Linked DNA regions of Rattus norvegicus. Each later gene encodes a partner of the first gene's protein in a complex. Links are inferred from orthologs where the notes say so. Each region holds a gene or a part of one and is shown in the gene's direction. Other genes may lie near its edges. The genes, in order: Gli1 and Sufu.

The links.
Region 2: the proteins of Gli1 (region 1) and Sufu are in contact, whole or in part, in a crystal structure (PDB 4KMD), measured with the Homo sapiens proteins. The link is inferred for Rattus norvegicus from reciprocal best matches to the Homo sapiens genes GLI1 and SUFU. Residues at the interface, in NP_005260.1 of Homo sapiens: Gly119, Ser120, Tyr121, Gly122, His123, Leu124, Ser125, Ile126, Gly127; in NP_057253.2 of Homo sapiens: Leu144, Tyr147, Asn153, Thr154, Phe155, Gly158, Asp159, His160, Val161, Ser162, Trp163, His164, Gln212, Asn265, Leu266, Ser267, Gly268, Val269, Ser270, Ala271, Glu376, Leu380, Lys398.

What each region holds. Positions count from the first base shown.
Region 1 is NC_086025.1:65,048,594-65,052,960, reverse strand, and holds the start of Gli1 (zinc finger protein GLI1), read left to right. Parts: upstream 1-1,553; coding exon 1,554-1,653; intron 1,654-1,882; coding exon 1,883-1,975; intron 1,976-2,445; coding exon 2,446-2,641; intron 2,642-2,987; coding exon 2,988-3,132; intron 3,133-3,428; coding exon 3,429-3,518; intron 3,519-3,608; coding exon 3,609-3,746; intron 3,747-4,054; coding exon 4,055-4,204; intron 4,205-4,367. UniProt on the Homo sapiens protein: Acts as a transcriptional activator. Binds to the DNA consensus sequence 5'-GACCACCCA-3'. Regulates the transcription of specific genes during normal development.
Region 2 is NC_086019.1:255,197,688-255,202,000, forward strand, and holds the start of Sufu (suppressor of fused homolog), read left to right. Parts: upstream 1-1,501; 5' UTR 1,502-1,671; coding exon 1,672-1,853; intron 1,854-4,313. Other genes in the region: Actr1a (alpha-centractin), read right to left, coding at 111-158. UniProt on the Homo sapiens protein: Negative regulator in the hedgehog/smoothened signaling pathway. Down-regulates GLI1-mediated transactivation of target genes. Down-regulates GLI2-mediated transactivation of target genes. Part of a corepressor complex that acts on DNA-bound GLI1.

The sequences.
Region 1 (4,367 bases):
GGGACCGGGAGAAGGGGGTGGGGCCGACTCCAGGGAGTTGGGGAGAAGGGGTTCGTGGAGGACTCTAGAAAATAGACACCGAAGATGATTCGGGTCTCTGGGAGGCTAATTCTCTTGCTCTCATACCGCCCAGAAAACCTTTACTGAAACTGGAAAAGTTAGCGATGTCTTTAGTAGTATGAAGGGGGGAGACGTGAGTGTAGACGGTGGCTCGCGTGGGCGAAGGGGGCTGTCGTCCCGTTTTCATACTGTCTCTTGGGGTGGTCGGGCAATGGGACAGGGAGATAAGACTGACAACTTTGAGGGAACATCTAGTGTCTGGGGGTCCTTTGCAAGTCCTCCCCTTCCTTTGAATGAGTCACAGAGGAGAGAGGCGGGAGACGTGCCCCCTCATCCAGCTGCCAGCCAGCTGTGCCCCCCACCCCCAACATTAGTGCCAATGCCGAGCTGGGAGGTCTTGGATGCGGGATCCGGGTCTCGGCTGAAAAAGGAGGAGTTAGCAAAGGCTATAGCACTTAGGTTGGGTCGTAGGGTCCGGGTTCCGTTCCCCATTTTACCCCGCCCTCACCCTAAATCCCAGCATCCCGGGATCACCCACCGCGCCGGCCGGCCCGCTCCCGGCGGTTCTCCACCCCACCCCGCCCCACCCCACCCTCCGCTCCCGGAAGACCGAAAAACCTGGAGTGGAGTGAAAACTTGTTGAGGAGGAAACGTGGACCTCGCACCAGCTCCTCCTTCCCTCCCTCCCTCCTTGCCTCCCCTCCCTCGCCTAATAGAGGACTTAGTTTTCCCATTCTCATTAAGCCTTTCCTGACAATCCCTTTCCAGTCCTTTCCAAAACCAAGAGGAATAGTTAGACCCAGATTCAGACCGCCTCAGAATGACTTTAGCTCCCATCCTTTTTACTCAACAGACTGGGAGACGCTCTGCTCTGAAGCCTTATTCCCTCCCACACACAGTTCTCGGTCTGAGAGGACACATGGTTTGTGTTCTCTTCTGGCCCCACCAGTCAATGTGGACTGAAGCGAGGTCTCCCTCTACTGGACACTGGAGAGATTGCATTGAGCTCTTGGGCATGAGCCGGCAGAAGTCAGACCTTCCTCTGTGTGTGTGTGTGTGTGTGTGTGTGTGTGTGTGTGTGTGTGTGTGTGTGTGTGTGTTCCACCATCACACACCTCAGAGCTGGTCCATGGCCAGAACAAGAAACGGTAGAGAGAAAAGAAAAAAGAAAAGCAAGTAGAGAGCTCATGGCACTAAAATCACCTACGACTTAGGTTGGATCGTTTATTCCCTAACATTCCCGTGTACATACAGAGACTGAGGAGCTCCTATCCAAGACCCCCAAGAGACCTCCATGACTGACCGTCTGCTTCTGCCCACTCTTTGGGATGATTTCCATGACCAGTCTCTGAGATGGGGGTCAGAGGCACAAGGGACATGCCAGCCGGGGATTTGTGCCTGAACTTGTTATTTAGCTTCTGTTTCTCTCCATCTTTGTAACTGGTGGGTCTACGTTCCTTTCTGCAGGGCCCCTCATCCTTCGCTGAGACACCATGTTCAATCCAATGACTTCACCACAAGTCAATAGCTATGGTGAGCCATGCTGTCTCCGACCCCTCCCCAGCCAAGGGGTCCCCAGCATGGGAACAGAAGGTAAAAACATTTACCAGTCTCTGGGCCTTGAGGACTTGGCAGATGTCTCGCCCAGCTCCAGGATCCCTCCCACCCCATCCCTACCCCATGCTAGTTTCCTGTCTACAGGAGGATTTTGTGACCCATGCTATGTATGTTTGGAGTCTGGGGTCATATCTTATGTAGGGTCTCAAGATAAGCCCTGTATCCCCCATTCAAATGCCTGGCTACAGCTGTCTCTCTTTTCTAGGACTTTCTGGTCTGCCCTTTTGCCACCAAGCCAATTTTATGTCAGGGTCCCAGGGTTATGGGTCTGCCAGAGAGACCAGCAGCTGCACTGAGGGTGAGAACCCAGATAACCCTCCCTACTTCTGCCCCTCTGGGACTTCCTGTGCAGGAGAAGGTGGGGAAGCAAGGGCCAAACTCGAGGGAAGAAACATCCAGAGACAAGGGGATGGGAGGATGATCAAGAGTTTCTAAACGCAGCAAGGCAAAAGCAGTGTGGTTTTTGAGTGAGGCCCCACCTACCAAGTGCAGGGATACATGTACCTTTACAGTACATGTTTAATGTTATATTTTAACACTGTGTGTGTCTGCATTTGTGTATGTGCATGTCCTGGTGCCCTCCCTGAGGCCAAGGGTGTAGGACCATCCCTGGAGATGCAGTTATGCGGTTATAGGTGGCTGTGAACCGCCTGATGTGGGTGCCAGAAATCATAGTCAGATCCTTTGGAAGAACAGCAAGTGCTCTTAATCACAGAGCCACCTCTCCAGCCCCCTTTACTATATCTTAACTCCTGTCTCCTGCCCTAGGGTCACTCTTTCCTCCTCCTCGGAGTTCAGTCAAACTGACTAAGAAGCGGGCTCTTTCCATCTCGCCTCTCTCTGACGCCAGCCTCGACCTGCAAACCGTAATCCGTACCTCACCCAGCTCCCTCGTGGCTTTCATCAACTCTCGTTGTACATCTCCAGGCGGTTCCTACGGCCATCTCTCCATTGGCACCATGAGGTACTGGCAGCCTCAAATTAAGAGGCCCCTAAGAGGGGTTGGGGATTTAGCTCAGTGGTAAAGCGCTTGCCTAGGAAGCGCAAGGCCCTGGGTTCGGTCCCCAGCTCTGAAAAAAAGAACCAAAAAAAAAAAAAAAAGAGGCCCCTAAGATATGTACTGAAACCCATTAGAAGACTCAGACCCTTTAAACCCCCAGCCCAACTCTAGTCCTTCCCCTCCCAAAGCATTGGAACCCTCTTCAGGACCTCCCTGGGGCTTCTTCAACCAACCCTTCCAGAATCCTGAAGAACAGAGAGAGGGCTCCTGGTGACTGATTCTCTCAACTAACAGCCTCCTCTTCATCTAGCCCTTCTTTAGGATTCCCACCTCAGATGAGTCACCAGAAAGGAACTTCACCTCCCTATGGAGTCCAGCCCTGTGTTCCACATGATTCTACTCAGGGTTCAATGATGCTTCACCCCCAGTCCCGAGGACCACGTGCAACCTGCCAGGTGGGGCCCTCCACGTTGTCTTCTCCAGCTCAGGATAAGTGGGTAGGAGACTTAGCAGGGGGCAGGTGAAGGACACAGCAGATATAAAAGCGTTTGGTACTAGGAACCTGGATTCGGACTCTCCCACAGGAGAGCACCTCTCTGTTCATACCACTCACCAGTACAGGCTGTGAAGAGAGTCCTCACACTCACAGGATCCTGCTATTTGGGTGGGGGTCTGTAGGGCAGGAAGACCTGACATGCTTTCCCTTCTTACTATTCCACCCTCAATACCCTCACCTCTTCCCTTGGGGAAGCTGAAGTCAGAGCTGGACATCATGGTTGGCAAGTGCCCAGAGGAACCTTTGGAAGGGGACATGTCTAGCCCCAACTCCACGAGCACACAGGTAAGGGGAGGGTGGGGCTTTTCCCCGGGGACCCAAGTGAAACAAAACTTGCCACACAAATGACCCTAAGGATTGTCTCTCTTGCCCTAGGATCACCTGCTGGGGATGCTGGATGGACGGGAGGACCTGGAGAGAGAGGAGAAACCTGAGCCTGAGTCTGTGTATGAGACGGACTGCCGCTGGGATGGTTGCAGCCAGGAGTTCGATTCCCAAGAACAGCTGGTGCACGTGAGCCCCAGGGGGTAACAGGCAGTTGGTGGGAACCTGAAGGAGACTAAATGGAGCTTTGAGATCTAGTGAAGGGCAGGAGGTTCAAGGGTACTAAGGTCAGAGATCGCATGCTTGGTCCTGCAGACTGAAGCCCAGAGTGTCTGCTCTAGAAGGCTAGAAGACCTGAGGTGTGGGTGAACTGCGTTCCCCACCCCTATTCCCCCAAGAGGAGGAGCTGAGGACGATGAGTACAGGGCTGGAGGGAGTACATTCAAGGTCTGGGTGGTGTCTGGGACCTTGGAAAGCCTCTTCGTCTTCCTCTTTAGCACATCAACAGTGAGCACATCCACGGGGAGCGGAAGGAGTTCGTGTGCCACTGGGGAGGCTGCTCCAGGGAGCTGAGGCCCTTCAAGGCCCAGTACATGCTGGTGGTGCACATGCGCAGACACACGGGCGAGAAGCCACACAAGTGCACGGTAAGGCACCCATCCCTCTCTATATTGGTGCCAAGTCAAGACAGGGTCCTAGTTGACATGCCTTCAAAGTCCCTTCCTTCGTAAGCAAATGTTAACTCTTGCTGAAGACCATATGGATAGAAAGATAAACACACTGATGTATATAAAATGCTATGTTGCTCTT
Region 2 (4,313 bases), on another chromosome or scaffold:
TGACAGGCCGGGCCAGTGACAAAGAGCTGGCGGCCTAGGCTGAAACCTCGGAAACAATCCTTCCTGGAGGAGAACACAGTCCCTTCAAAGATAGGAAAGATGCTACTCACATTGTCGATCACAACAGGCTGGTTGGCGATCACATCGTAGGACTCCATGGCAGAGGAATCTTTCCCTCCGAGGAAGGAACTGCCAGCCCGGTCCGCAGCAAACGCCACTGACACGCATGCGCAGTCTAGTCGCCGGTACTGGGCGTCCAGGGAGCGGCCCGACCTCGCCTCCGAAGAACTACAATCCCCAGCATTCTTTGCTCCAAACCGAGTCCCATCCAGATCGGGTTTAGGAGATTGGACAGTGTATTTCCGACATATGGTGCCATGGGGTTTGTAGTGTCTGTAGATTAAAGAGCCACAATGTTGATGATTAATGTTGCATGACTGGATTTGAGGCCCCTTCCAAGGGGTTTCCAATACACTCTTTTGGAGTCTGAAGTACTTGTGAATAGTTGGGATTGGATTTGTCAGTAGTTCAGGGGCGGTTGAATTTTACAGATTATTTCTACCTTTCAGCCATTCCTTCACTTGGGCAATATAAACCATTACAAACATCTGTGGAACTGGAATGTCAGTGGTAGAATGCTTGCCCGGCACTTACAAGAGCCCAGCAGCACCGGGGGTGGTGCTGCATGCCTTTAATCTCACCACTTGGGGCAAAGGTAGCAAGATCTGAGTTCGAGGCTAGCCTGGTTTATAGAGTGAGTTCCAGAACAGTGAGGGGCTATACAGAGAAAACAAACCTGTCTCGAAAAACAACAAAAAGTAAAACGAAAAGCAAAACAAGACAAAACCGTGAAGCAAAAGCCAATGGAGGTTATCAAAAATTACCTGTAAGTTGGATGCCACGGAACTACTGGTCTAAAGAGGTTTAGAAACTTGCAGCTTGCTAGGCAAGCGCTCTACCACTGAGCTAAATCCTCAACCCCAGGTTTAGAAACTTTTATCATCTTTCTTGAGCTTGACCTTGATGGATGATAATATCCAGGTGAAGAGAAAGAGTAGGTAAATGCTTTTCAGCTAGGAATTTTCCCCAGGCACTTTTCGTGTTACTCTTTTTATCAATAGTTCCAAGAAATAATTAGACTTGTAATATATTAATAATAATGACACAGTCTGATGATTTAATCATTTGTCAAGCTTATCTTAAAATCGTGTGTTAGCACCATGTTAAGCGCTTCTCGGGCGTTTCTTAGAGCTTTCATAGGACCCTAGCACCTCAAGGTACGGCGCCTCGGTTTTAAACTGGGTTCCTCCTAACACTAGGGGGAGGCCAAGATCCTTGGGACACTCCCAACACAGGGGCAGGGAGGCGGAGTCTATTGTCAAGTCACGCCTTTCCCACTTGTGACTGGCAAAGACACTAGCCAATGGGTGCCAGGCAAGGGCACGCCGACGCCCCACCCTCTGGAGCTCCCCGCGGTCCCACAGCATCCTCTGGCCGACGTCTTGAAGGCTCCGACTTGGGCGGACGGAGCCTCGTGCGCAGGCGCGGAGTTAGACCTCGCCGTAGCCCCCATCGCCTCGGGGACTCTTCATCCACAGTGGGTCCGCTGGCCCATAGGGGCGCTTTCCCTCCTCTACCCTCCCGGGTTCCCCGCGCGCCCTACGCGCCCCAATGGCGGAGCTGAGGCCTAGCGTCGCCCCCGGCCCCGCCGCGCCCCCGGCCTCTGGCCCTAGTGCCCCCCCGGCCTTTGCTTCACTCTTTCCCCCGGGACTCCACGCCATCTACGGAGAGTGCCGCCGCCTCTACCCTGACCAGCCGAACCCGCTCCAGGTTACCGCTATCGTCAAGTACTGGTATGCTCTGGGCCTCGGGAGGACCGGGGCTGGCCGGGAAAGCTTCGAGCACTGGGGACGAAGTAATTTGCAGAAGTGGGAGGAAGAAAACGGTCCAAGTACTTAGGAACCAGGAGCTTCCTGATGCTGTGGAAGGAGTTAGGACAGAAGTTGGGAATGGGGACAAAGGGTTAATGGATCCCTTGAGTAGTGAGGGGTTAACCGGGATTAGGAGAACTGAGAACTAGGGGTGTATACAGGAACTGAGGGGGGACGTGTGAGAGCGAACTGTAAACGTGGAGAAAGGAGGGGGCGCCTGTGGTGGGTCATTAGTGGGCTTGGGGGAGCCAGGGGGCGGCTGGAGTGGAATGGGGGGGAGGTAAGGCGGGGCCTGGAGAGCATTTGAGAGGGCTTTGGAGGGTACGAGATCGCGTAGTCTAGGGCGGTCCGGGGACCAGGACGCCCCTGTGGGTTAGGAGGGAGTAAGATGTGAGGGCATTGTGCCTTTGATGCGTGAAGAGTTGAGGAGACAGCTTTCTTTTTTTCCGGGAGGTTCCCGAACGAACGCTGGAGCTTCTGTCATTCAGTGCGAAGCTGTTGCTCTTGAAGTTTGACAGAGCCGCTCTTCCAGATAAACTTTTTGCTTACTCTGCACACTTCTCTTTCTCCCTGCAGAGCTTGCTTCTGACTTTGCAGCTGCTTTTGCTTTAGGTCGTTAGTTAAGAACAGGTTTCGGGAGGGCCAAGCTTTGGCTCTGGATTGAAGGAGATCGTAGCTTGCCACGAGGTGCGTGATGGAGACCTGAGTGGGCAGGAGGAATGAAGTGTAGCTTGAAGAAGCGCTTCCTGCCTTGCCTTCAGGATTTCAGCCGAAGTTTAAAGTTGCCCAGTAACGATCAGGTTCCAAACGGGCTGGCTGTCCTTGGGGTAGAAATGGTGCTCTCTAATCTCCTATTCTTTTTGCAACCCGTTTCTTCAAGTCAGCCTGAATTCAGACAAGTGTTATGGGACAAGTCCTCGTGGTCTTTCTGCACCAAAAATAGACTAAGAGATGGCCACATTCATGTAGGCAGTCACTGTATTAGATGACCCCTTTCAGTGGATCCCGGAAAATACCTGGAGCAATGGCTTGGGGAATTGGCAAAAACTGGACCTGAAGTGGGGGAAGTGGATGTCTTTACAGCTTACACTGCTTTTAAAGCCGAGTCTTTTTCCTATGTAACAACCTCTGATTGCCTCTGGAGATGGGCGACAGGCTATACAGGACTGAGGCTAACTCCCTGTGTCAGTTATGTACATGATGGGAAGGAAACTGACAGCCGGGAGGACCTGGGGACCAGCCTCATCTGGGTAGCCAGGAGACATGCCGGCAAGGCATCTGTGCAGGGCAGCCTGTTTCCAGGCTGAAGAGAGTTTCAAAGAGTGCTTCTGAGCAGGAAGCAGCTCTTGCTAACCTAATCACCCATTTCAATTGCACCTCTGTATTAGTTATGATGAACTTGTCCCACGTCATGAGAAAAATGGGGCTAGCCTTGCCGTGCTGTTTGCTCTAATCTTGTGTAAGTGTGAGGGAAAAGTTTCTGTGCAGAATATGGGGCGCCTGGTTTTATATCACCTACACGGCCATCAAGACAGAGTCGTGCATTAGAGGTATGAAACCATTATGCAAAAGACCAAGGGTAATTATACCACTTATTTTTTTTTCTACAAGTTTGTAGTGAGGCTGTATCCCCAGAGGTAGACTAGCATGTGATGACAAATGAAAAGACATGTACAGTACTTTGTGAAGTAAGAAATGCCACCTAGACACGGGAATCTAAGAGGAACCAGCTTAGTAATGGTTCTTTCTAAAACTCATAGGGATTTGCAGAATTGAGATACTGAAGTTTATTGCTGTCCCTTATGTTTAGTATCTTACAGCAGTATGACCCACTAAACTGCTTGCGTCTGGCTATGGGCTTTCTTTGGGGGTTGAGGGGTAGCATTTTAGCTAGTGGTCCCTGGCCACCAGGAATACTCTGACTGAGATTTTCAAGCAAGACAAGATCAAAGTAGGGAGGCAGAGCCTTGTGTCTTATCCTGCAACTACCCTATAGAGAGAAAGAAATCAGGTGTTGAGGGAATTGAGGTAAGGGATGTTCTGGGCCATTGGACTGCATCTCTTCCTAAGTGTAAAATATGATTTTTCCCCCATTCATCTGAGTGCAAGTATAAGGCTAACTTTGCTTGGTTCGTGGCCTCTTCTTGATGTGACCTCTCTTGGGAGACCGGCTGTGGGAGCCACAGCATGCCTGCAAGCAGAACAAGGAGAGGAGACACAGTGCTACTGCCTGTTGCTGCATGGACCTGGGCTGCGTCAAGGGCTGTTGGGGATTTGTAGCAGGAAGTTGGAAAGAGTGTGGAGTCTGTCTCTTTTAGGGTTCTACAGCCTTTTCTCTCCTCTATCCATCCCCAAACCATTTCCAAACCCAGCTGGTTATGG